Danio rerio: one gene and its partners. The protein of the gene in region 3 interacts with the protein of the main gene of each other region in a pairwise test. Links are inferred from orthologs where the notes say so. Each region holds a gene or a part of one and is shown on either strand. Other genes may lie near its edges.

Region 1 (3,658 bases), on a different chromosome or scaffold from region 3:
GAAAAAAAAACAGAAGCTATCAGCAGCATCACACCACCTCGTAGCGTTTGTTTTAAAGACGAAACACAGCTATATATAGCTCTGGCTACACAATTCGCACTCTCCAGAAATGTATATAGGGGAACGTTTTCACAATGAGCCTGTGTTGTATAAAAGTTTAAAAAATCTGCCATTTTAAACATCTCTATTTTAAACATATTCTAAACAATTCCCAGTAACCTTCTAAACTTAACAAACATCCCCTGAACATTTTTTTAATAATCTACCCCAACATCCTCTAAACATCTTTTGAAAATCTCTTAAATGTTCTTTATTTCTTCTCTATAAACCTTCTAAACATCCCCTAACTTAATTATATACTTTTATTTTTTTCTAAATATATCAAAACCACCACCTACATTTCTAATTATCTCCTAAACACCTCCTAAACACCTTCTTAAAATCTCCTAAAGTACTTTTATTATGTTCTAACATTCCCTAAATGTCTCGTTAACATCTTCAGTGTGTCTCCTTAATGTCTCCTAATATTATTTACCATGTCTCCAATTGTGTGGCTAATGATGTTTGTCAATGCAGAGCTTCATCCTGCTCACCCTGAGAGAAGGCATCCAGCACGTCGTCTCCAACCCCTGCCAGACAGTCCTGCGGCGTGTGTGTGGGGGTTGAGCCGGCCGAGGTGGAGCGGATGGGCATAGGCATGGTGCAGCTGGCACTGTGGCTGGGCGATGAGTGTGGCGAGGTCCCCGTCTGAGCCTGTAGAACAGGGATGAAAAAAAAGAATGCAAACATTACACAAGGTGTGCAATAACCTGAACATCCAGGGTTCCCTCGCTCCCTCAAAGACACTGCAGACAAGCCTATAGATTTCTGGTCGACATTGTTCCTAAAGATCGACAATCAGCCATTTAATTGCTTTACTCAACAGATCTTTACTCTAGTCTGCATTCAATTGAACAAATATAATAAATATTGAACTTTGTTTATTTCAAACTTGTGCAATTCTATTAGGCTTTCAACATTAAATTTATAGATTGTACAATTTTGTTTCAGAGTTTTATTTGCCAGTTATTTTCATAGTTTATGTGTACAGTTTTCACAAGACTTAATTTTAACCCAGGCTCATTGTGAAAACATATCCAATTTCTACATACATTTCAGGAGAGCGACAAATAAGTCCCAAGAGCTACGTTTTTTTGCAATTTTTGTTTTCACGAATTCACCAGGGGCTGCTGTGTATGTCTTTTGAGATCTCAACTATCTCTCACGGGTGCCATTCATGCCTGCTGTTCTCACGTGAATCCACCAGAGGTCGCTGTCAACTCACTGACTGAATGACTCACTGACTGACCCACCCTCCTCATTCCTCAAACCCAACCAATAGTATTTTCAAAAATACTGATTGGCCCGCCCATCCACTTCCCTAAACCCAACCGACAGTTTAAAAAAGCAATGCAGAAAAGCCCTTGCCTGATTTTTACCACGTTTTGAGATTTTATCACATTTTCACTCTGTTTACTTGTTTATTTTTTGCCTCTGTTTTTTTCTTACCTGCTTTCTGGAACCGTTCTTCGACAGACTCAAACCCAATCATCATTATCAGACGTACATGGTTGGTGAGCTAAATGGACAAACTGGTAACTACAGGAAAACCGTCCATATGGAGGTAAGCAGTCAGCTGGTAAGCGTGAAAAGGAACAGCATCATACCACCCCATAGCATTCGCTTTAAAGACAAAATGCAGCCTTACGTACTTCTGGCTACATAATTCGTAATCTCCAGAAACCTATATAGGACCACGTTTTCAGAATGAGCCCATGTTGCTTAATTGCATGCCTCATGTATACTTCTGCATCAAGTGATTACTGTACCCCACAGTCCATACTATTGCCAACGCTAACATGTAGACAACGCTTTTGTGAGCATTAATACATGTTACTTGTTACTTGCATTAATGCATTCTTTTTTGTTGCTCTGACAATAACACTTCTCGAACACTTGTAGACAGTAGGGTTTGCGCCAGAATACGTGCGATGCTACTCTGGAAGTAGCTCAATCTCACAGTCACAAAGCAAACATATCCATCAAGAGCTCCACTGGAGGACTCGACACTTGTTAACACTCACGCCACTGGCCTAGCTCCCACAACTCTTAGGCCTGCTCTACTCTCTTCACGGCTTCCAATGCCGACCAATCAGAAATCTTGTGCTTCATGTATCTGTGATGTTTAGTTACATCAGGGTAAATGCAAAGGGTATGTGTGACTATGCAGGACCAACCACGTTAAATCATATGCAGAAGTATATATTGGAGTTATAAAAAAAATAATGCACCTGCAAAAGCTCAGCATAAAAAGAAAATCCTATATACAGAAAGGGAATGCCGGTGTCTTCAGAAAAGTTCAAGTGATATTTTCTTTTCAAATAATCTCTGTCTAAAAGTGCACAAAGTAAACGCCATCAATAATGCAGATCTATAATTACCACTAGGGCTGCTCGATTTTGGGAAAAATCATAATCACGATTATTTTGGTCATAATTGTAATCACGATTATTCAAAACGATTACTGTTAAAGTAAAGAATTATTAGCGCTCCTTGGTATTTTTTTAAATAAATATTTCCAAAATGATGTTTAACAGAGCAAGGAATTTTAACACTATTTCCTCTAATATTTTTTCTTCTGGAGAAAGGCTTTTATTATTTTGGCTGGAATAAAAGGAGGTTTAAAAATTTTGAAACCCATTTTAAAGTCTATAATATTAGCCCCCTATAGCAATATATTTTTTGATTGCAGAAGAAACTGCTGTTATAAAATGACCTGTCTAATTACACTAATTAAGCCTTTAAATCGCACTTTGAATCTGAATGCTTGTATTTTGAAAAATTTCTAGTCAAATATTATGTGCTGTCATCATAGCAAAGATAAAAGAAATCAGTTATTAGAAATGAGTTATTAAAACTATTATGTTCAGAAATCTTCTGTCCATTAAACAGAAATTGTTGAGAAAAGGGCTGCTAATATTCTGGAGGGCTAATAATTTTGACTTGACTTCAACTGCATATATACAGTTATTTTCCTCCCTGCAAAGGAAAGAGAAATAAATACAATAGAATAAAAATATTAAACAAACTGTGCTTTGGGCATCTTAACTGTCAGAAAAACACTTTAGCTGCAGCAGTCCTTCAGTCAAGAGCAGAGAGGCATGTTCTCCGTTTATTGCTTGATTAATAATCATAAAAACAGACGGAAGAAGGATTATCGCGCAATGTAACTTTAATGGTTTCTCTTTCGCGTGTCTTTTGATTCTCAACTCGTTTGTTTATTGAGGTTAATATGAATAATCACCAAACACTGCATTTTGACACCTATTTGACCAGTAAAGCGCTCACGTTAAGATTAATCTAGATGTGACGCTCTGCTCGTCTCAGTGTGTGAGTAAGACAGAATGCTGACCGCATGCTTCTGTTGTGACTGTGTGTGTGCACCAGAATCATGTGGTCTTTAGCGTTTTTAAGAGCAACACGTGTACAACTGGAAAGGGGGTGGTTTATGATGCAATAATCATTTATCTCGATTAATGGTTTTTCATAATCGTTAGAAGCCAAAATTGAAATCGAACTAATTCGAAGACTCAGCCATGATGAGTGTGTGTGCTGATTA
Region 2 (3,658 bases), on a different chromosome or scaffold from region 3:
TTAACTTCCCCCAAATCAGCTGTTAAAATCGGAGAGCTCATAATACACGCACAAACCGCTCATTTATGTAATCAACTAAAGCTCCAACTTCACCCAAGATCTGAACACTAGGAAAAGAAGAAGAGCAAGGGAACCTTCTGGAATAATCAGCTCCTTGGGTGCCTTAGTGGCAGCTCTTTATTCCAGAAACATAGGGTGACTCCTGTTGGCGGCAGATGCCCTCTTGCTGCTCGCTGCAGTCCACAAAGTCAGGCACCGGCAGCCCTGACATGATCATCAATGACTTGTTCCAGATCATGAAGGTGGGAGCCACCGGAAGCAGGAAGGAAACGTCAAAAGTGTATATGTGCTGGGAGTTCATGGCATCATAGAAGGACAGAGTGTTGTTGTCGTAGTCCAGAAGAACTCCCACCCTGCGCAGCTGTAGTGACGCTTCCACAATGGACTCCTTGTTGTTGTGCCGCACCAAGAAGTTATTGTTGCAGCGTGAGAAAACCCAAGATGATGAGTTTTTACCACTCCACTCGTTTTTGGGTGCTGACTTATAGGCCACACCAAGAGCGTACCTGAAGGGGAAACAGATGAACAACACTGTTAATGGATACTGGGGCATCATGCTATAGGTATCTTGGCTCTTTTTAGTGTCTTAACACAGAATTTACACCAGGAGTATACAATCCTGCTTATGGAATACATCTCTCCTGCAAATTGAGCTTCATCATCCTGCTTCTACACAACTGACTAGAAGTTTCTAGTAAGGCCAGAGATTGCTTTACTTTTGGGAGATAAGAGTTTTTATTACTTATCACCAAACAAAGTGTAAATGCCGACTTGGAGGTATATTAGGGAATATATAATGGTCTCTGATTTCATTCCTACACTTACATAAACGTTTCTAGAGGGACCAGAGATTGTCGTACTACTGAGAGAGAAAAGTCTGTATTCCTTAACTTTTGAAAAAAAAAAAAAAGATAATGGCTAACTTGGATCATGTGAGGGACCTTGGGCAATCATATAATGTCTTATTGCAGTGTTTCCCAACCCTGTTCCTGGAGGTACACAAGATGTCCAATCAACTTTTCTGACCCATTAATTTCAGGTTTTGGAATCTTCTAATGTTCTGATGAGCTAATTCACCCTCTTTGAATGTTATCATGTGATTGAATGGACTTTATCTGTGTAATATAAATGTAATGTGTGTATTTATATAGCACATTTGTCGTATATGGCCATATACCTAAAGCGCTTCACAAGCATGAGGAGGGTCTCTCCAAACCATCACCAGTGTACAGCATCCACTTGGATGATGCAACGGCAGCCACAGGACAATGGCGCCAAAGCGCTCACCACACACTAGCTATTGGTGGAGTGGATAGACAGTGATAGAGCTAATTTAGTGGCTGGGGATGATTGGGAGGCCATGATGGTAAAGACCGAGAGGAAATTTGGCCAGGACACAGAGGTTACACCCCTACGATTTACGAGAAGTGCCATGGGATTTTTAATGATCACAGAGAGTCAGGACCTCGTTTTATTGTCTCATCTGAAAGACGACACCCACTGACAGTATAGTGTCCCCTTCACTTTTACTGGGGCATTGTGACTCACACAGACTACAGGTTGAGCGCCCCCTGCTGACCTCACTAACACCCCTTTCAACAGCAACCCGCTTTTTCCATGTGGTCCTCCATCTGGGTACTGACCAGGCTCATCCCTGCTTAGCTTCAGTGAGTAACCGCTTGGGCTGCAGGGTGACATGGCTTTGGCGTGGTTATCAGCTGATAGCTATGGGGGGCCTTCTATGACTACTGGTAGGCTCAGAAGGCTGTTATCATCCATCCACATGACTAATAAGCTATACTAATAGAGAAGACTCCAGATCCAGATCTGATTTTACATTACTTTGACGGACATTACTTTGTCTACCACGAAGGTCGCAGTGTTAATATTAGTGATAATGCTGTTTGGGCTAAAGTTTGCAACATGCCTATTGCATAGGCCTTGGTGAGAGTGGAAACTTGATTAACTGGGTCAGGCAAGTTTAATTAGGATTGGATCTAAACTTTGCTGCAAAGTGTCTCTTATGTCCATTGTTGTTTTTGTATTTATGATCCTTTTATGTAGCACTGTGGTCCAGCGAGACACAACATTTTGTTCCTCTGTATGTCCACACATGTAGCAGAATGACAATAAAGCTTGACTTGACTTGAATTCTGTTCAGCTTTGTGACACACTAATACTCTTTTTCCAGCTGCTGAAAACTGTTTTCACTGGATTTGACAGAGAACAATTAAAATCAATGTATCCTTCATGGATTAGAATAGGATTGAATCTGAAAGCTATAGGTTGGCATCAGTTTATAGTTGAAGATTTTTGTATGTTGTATCACCTGTAATGTAGACCAAATATCTCATTATAATAGAATTTATTGACTGTTATTGAGTTGAGTCATACCACAGTTGTCAGGTGTGGTCATTATGCAAGCCAAGTGGACACTTGATGATTCTAGCCATGATTTTTTCATTTGAGACAGGTTAATCAAAATCTATTGTCTTTGGTCATTAGTTTGACATGTCTTACAATGACTGTCAAGCCAAGCATCAACAGGAGCACAGAACATGATGGCTCAATTAATGAAGCAACAATGAATTACCACTCACTCAATTATTTTTTGCCCAATATTAATGCTGGAGACACTTTTATTTGGGTTGCCACCTTTTCAGTTCTCTGTGTTTACCGTCAGTACAAGTTTCATGGATTGATGAAGTAAAACAATGGGGAATTGTTTGTGATTATGTCATTTTTTTAAATGAGTTTTGACTGTCACAAACTCTGGCAATAATGACTGACCACACAGAATGAATCGGGGGATTGGGGAGGGAGGTGGAACCCACCACCTGGTCTTCATAAAAAGAGGCTCGGATTCCTGGAATTGAACATGTAATCATTCTTAATAAACCAAGAGAAAATTTGAAGTAACCTGACAGCGATCAGAAGTGACATCCTGTAGACAAATAGCTTTTTCAGATAGCACAATTTTTAATAAATACAAATACTGAATATTAGAACAGAAAATACAAGCACAACAGTTGCACGATGTTCTTTGTGAAGCCAATCTGACTAAACTATGAATTTTAATAATGAATAAAAATGAGCAAAGTGTGTTGTTCAAATTGTATGGTCATAGTGGTAATATTCTAATCCACTATTTTACTCTGTGCTTGTCAACAGTGGTTTTAAATTAAGATACTGCATCACACATATTTACATTTTTTTGTGGATATGCTATATTACACTTGCAATACAGTATTTCTAAAGTGTGGAAGAAGTGGAGTTTCAGACTATTAAGAGTAATTTAAAGCATTTCTAAAACAAAATTGTTTATAAAATATTTAATTATTCTGTGTATTTCAAGTGTTGTACATCCATACACTCTCAAAAATAAAGGTACAGGAGCTGTCACTGGGGCAGTACCTTTCATACATTTGTACCCAAAGATTTCACAGTGGTAGCTCAATGAGGCTTATTAGTACCCAATTGTACCTAAAAAGTAACGCTTCAGGGACAAGTTTCTAACTTTTGAAAAGGTACTGCCCCAGTAACAGCTCCTGTACCTTTATTTCTGAGAGTGTAGTAAATTTTTGTACTGTGGAAAAGA
Region 3 (4,087 bases):
TATGATGTCATCATTTAGACTTCCTATCAGTATTTTACAGTGTTTTAAAAATACACAACATTAAACATAATATTAACCTATTTTTATAAACCACATCAATTACAAATTACTAAATACTATTTTGTATGTGAAATACGCATTTGAAATACTTGTATCATAAATTCTGGCCATCCCTGATTATCGGGACTATAAAAGTGCATTTATCAAAACAGTTAAAAGATTAGTTCAGGAAAAACTAAAAAATCATGTTGTTTTTTACTCTTATTTGTAACAGTTTATTTTGTTGAACAAAAAATAAGATATTTTGAAAAATGTTGAAAACCGGTAACTATTTCCATACTATTAGTATTCCTGTTATTTACTTCTAACATTCTTTAAATTGTCTTTCAAGGGCTTGGATCAACTTGTGGGTGAGTAAATAGTGATAATAATAATTTATGGGAATAATTTTTGGGTGAACTATCCTTTTAAGCTGAATTTAGCATTATATAGAGTGGAAATTCTACCAGAAACGCACATTATCTGTACCTGAAATAAAACATAAATAGAGTGAATAAAAAAAGTATTTCATCCCAAAATGTCTAAAATGGACCGATGGTTGATTTCTGTGAGTTGTTCTGCAAAGGAGTCAGTGTCATTCATTTAGTTTTCAGATTTTCGTTCTTTATTAAAAACCCTTTACAAACTTACAAACCCTGTTATTGTCCTTTTCCTCAGTCCAACTGAACCTACAGCTTTAATCATTTTGTTATGCAAAAAACAGTGATTTAGAAAAACATATTCTTCAGAAATAGCAAAGTTGAAGTTGTTATCATTTACATCAATTAATTGAAAACATGAAATTATATATAAATTCTACAAATAAATGCTAAACATATAATTTAAATTCATTTACAATTGTCCCTATGTTTTGGTCAGTCACATTTGCATTACATTTTGCGTGCCTTCATATGACTCACTTGATGGAGGAAAGGATGCGCTCTATCATTGAATTGTATGATTTTATGCTTGTTTTGTATGGTTTTTTATTTATTTATTTTTGAGGAAGACAAGCTTAAGTCAGGCCCTGTCAATTTTTTTATAAGTGAAAATGTACGTTTCTTGTAGAATGTGCCAAAGACTGCAGGGGGCGCTGTAGTGCCTCAAACCAACCGGAAATCTCCTGTCATGACAACTGCACGCACAGCTTTGAACTCAACGGCGGGGAGAACGAGCACTTTGCAAAACAATGACTAAAAAATCATCAAAGAATCGGATTCGAGCATTTTACACGTTTATGTAGGACCGCTTGTGTGACTTTCAGTGGTTATCATGGATATGCGGAGATCAGAAAGACTGAACGCGCCGGCGGACTTTATGAAAGCTGCTGAAGCAGGTAAACCAACACAATTAACCGAATAAAAGCCACCATATACCAAATAAACAAACACAAACGACTCAACTAGAGCTCTTAAAAAAAACACTCGCTTATCTTTGTGTATAATATTACTGGTTGTAGTGTTGAAGCACAGTATTAGTCTGATGTCAACTAACGTTAAGGTTGCAAAGATACAAACGTCTAGGATTGACAGCAAGTGTGATAAAGCCGTTTAACATTAATCCAACAGCATTTTGATAATCAGTTATTCAATTATAACATTAATACTTATGATTGTTGTGGTAGTTTACATGTCTCAGTTGATTTCCTAGACTACATTGACTATTTGTACTATGCATGCTGTTCAGCATCTTAAAGTGAAGAGTTCAGATGCAAAAAAGAAATTTTCTCCTAAAATGAGCGTTATTTTGCTTTAAAGGCAATATAAATAACTTTTTGGTCACTATAAAAGTAAAATTTCTGAACCTACACACGAGTTGGAGGAAAATGCGCTAGCAACATTTAACTTAGAGGTTTTGGCATCTAAACTCTTGAAGTGAACTTTAAAAGGATTGTAAAAAAAAAAATAATAAAAATAAATAAATATATATATATATATATATATATATATATATATATATATATATATATATATATATATTTCTGTCATCATTTATTCATTTTCCACTTGCTTCAAACCTGATTGAGTTGCCTATTTCTGTTGAACACAACAGAAGATACGTTGAAGAAAGCTGAAAACCAGTAATCATTCACTGTCATAGTATTTTTTTTTTCTACTATAGAGGCCAATTGTTACAGTTTTCAGCCTTTTTAAAATAACACCTTTAGTGTTCAACAGGAGAAATAAACTTGAAATTGTTTATAATTCAGGGTGAGTAGAAAAAATGTAAATAATTTTTGGAGGGAACTATACCGTTATAAAATCTGAACAGATTAGAAATGATAACAACTTTAAATAAGTTCTGTTGTGTCTTTTTTGGAACTTATTTTTAATAAAGAATGCAACACTGCAAAGCAATGAGTACAATACAATTTTAAATTATTGTTATTATTAATTTGTGGTGTCATGGTGGCACAGTAGGTTAGCCTGATCGCCTCACAGAAAGAAGGTTGCTGGTTCTGTGTGGAATTTGCATGTTCTCCCCGTGTTCACCTGGGTTCCCTCTGGGTGCTTCGGTTTCCCCCACAGTGCAAAGACAGGCGCTATAGGTAAATTGAATAAGCTAAGTTGGCTGTAGTGTACATGTGTGAATGCAAGAGTGTATGAGTGTTTCCCAGTGTTGGGTTGCAGCTGGAAGGGTAAAACATATGCTGGTTAAGTTGGCGGTTTATTCCGCTGTTTCAACCCCTGATTAATAAAAGTACTAAGCCAAAAAGAAAATGAAGAAATTCTTATTTTGCATGTTACTCCAATTTCTAGCTGCCAAAATGGTTGTAAAGACATGTTGAGAACAAAATAAAAAAATAAAATAATAATAATACTAAATTAGGGCTAGTCATTGCAGGATGTATTATGGCTGTGAGAATGGTGCTGTGAAATTGGAAGAACTCAGATACTCCCACTTTTAAGGATTAGATTGAGCTGATGACTTCTACTGTATCATATAAACATACTGTATATTGGCAAGACTCGAGGTCTCCACTCTCCACCTATACTTTTCATCAGAAGTGGGGTAGCTTTTTACGGTATTTAGAGAGCATGTATTAGAAAAATTGAAGGGTTGTCATTTTGGCTGTCTATTGTATAATTTTATATTTAATATTTATGTTTTATGTTATTATTTTATTATATTTTGTTTACATTATTTTCCTGAATGTTGATTTTGTATTGTGAATGTTACGTTGTGTGGGGTATAGACGTTCAAAATAAAAAAGTTAATTGACAAAAAATACAAAAATACAAAAATAAATAAATAAATGAAATTAAATAAAAAAGGGGGACAATTAGATGGATGTTGTAGTAGAGAAAGAAAGGAGTGGCCTTGATCATAACAGTATGGCTCATTATTGAAGAATTAAAGGCATGACAGGAGGCCATCTCTTTAGGAAAATATATATTTTTTAAGTCGCATTGCATATGTGATTTGCTCCATTTCATACAGTTCCCACACTTTTTGAATCCAAGCATTATATGATGGAGGTTCAGAATTTAGCCATATGCATGTGATGCACTTCAAAGCTGCTGCAAGTAGAATTTGTAATAAGTATGTTCTCGATCTGTCATTAAAGCCCTTGGGGCACACACCTTCTGTAGCTCAGCGACTGTGTGATCTTCAGAAAATTGCTTTCATTTTTTTTTTACATTCTTTTTTTTATGTTTTTATTTTTTTTATTAAACATTTTTTATTTTGAACAAAGCCTGAGATCCACAAAATGCTCAAATAAAATAAAGACAATAATACTGTAATAATAGGTACAAAATCATAATTGAAACATATCTCATACAGTCATATTTAACCAAAATTGTACAGTTTTCTTACTGGCATCATTTATTTTATCTGTGGTGTATTCTAAACTAATACAGTCCAGTGCATCAGCTGGAGCAAATGGATACAGCCATATTTTCAGGATGTTTTTTTTTTCAGCATTCAGAACAACTGATAGAATCCTTTGGTTGATGGATAAGGAGAGTGATGAATCGTCCACCATGAGAAAAAACAATGGGTTACGTTGGATCGGAGTTTCCATTAGCTCTAATAGTAGGTCTCG

The links. The genes of interacting proteins can lie anywhere in the genome.
Region 1: the proteins of si:dkeyp-20g2.1 (region 3) and dtnbb interact in binary tests that used the Homo sapiens proteins (3 or more experiments, as listed by UniProt). The link is inferred for Danio rerio from reciprocal best matches to the Homo sapiens genes CCHCR1 and DTNB.
Region 2: the proteins of si:dkeyp-20g2.1 (region 3) and mid2 interact in binary tests that used the Homo sapiens proteins (3 or more experiments, as listed by UniProt). The link is inferred for Danio rerio from reciprocal best matches to the Homo sapiens genes CCHCR1 and MID2.

The regions. Positions count from the first base shown.
Region 1 is NC_133192.1:38,942,215-38,945,872, forward strand, and holds part of dtnbb (dystrobrevin, beta b), read right to left. Parts: intron 754-3,658; coding exon 594-753; intron 1-593.
Region 2 is NC_133189.1:32,705,023-32,708,680, reverse strand, and holds part of mid2 (probable E3 ubiquitin-protein ligase MID2), read right to left. Parts: intron 567-3,658; coding exon 164-566; 3' UTR 1-163. UniProt on the Homo sapiens protein: E3 ubiquitin ligase that plays a role in microtubule stabilization. Mediates the 'Lys-48'-linked polyubiquitination of LRRK2 to drive its localization to microtubules and its proteasomal degradation in neurons.
Region 3 is NC_133180.1:24,161,909-24,165,995, reverse strand, and holds the start of si:dkeyp-20g2.1 (coiled-coil alpha-helical rod protein 1), read left to right. Parts: upstream 1-1,144; 5' UTR 1,145-1,311; coding exon 1,312-1,375; intron 1,376-4,087. UniProt on the Homo sapiens protein: May be a regulator of keratinocyte proliferation or differentiation.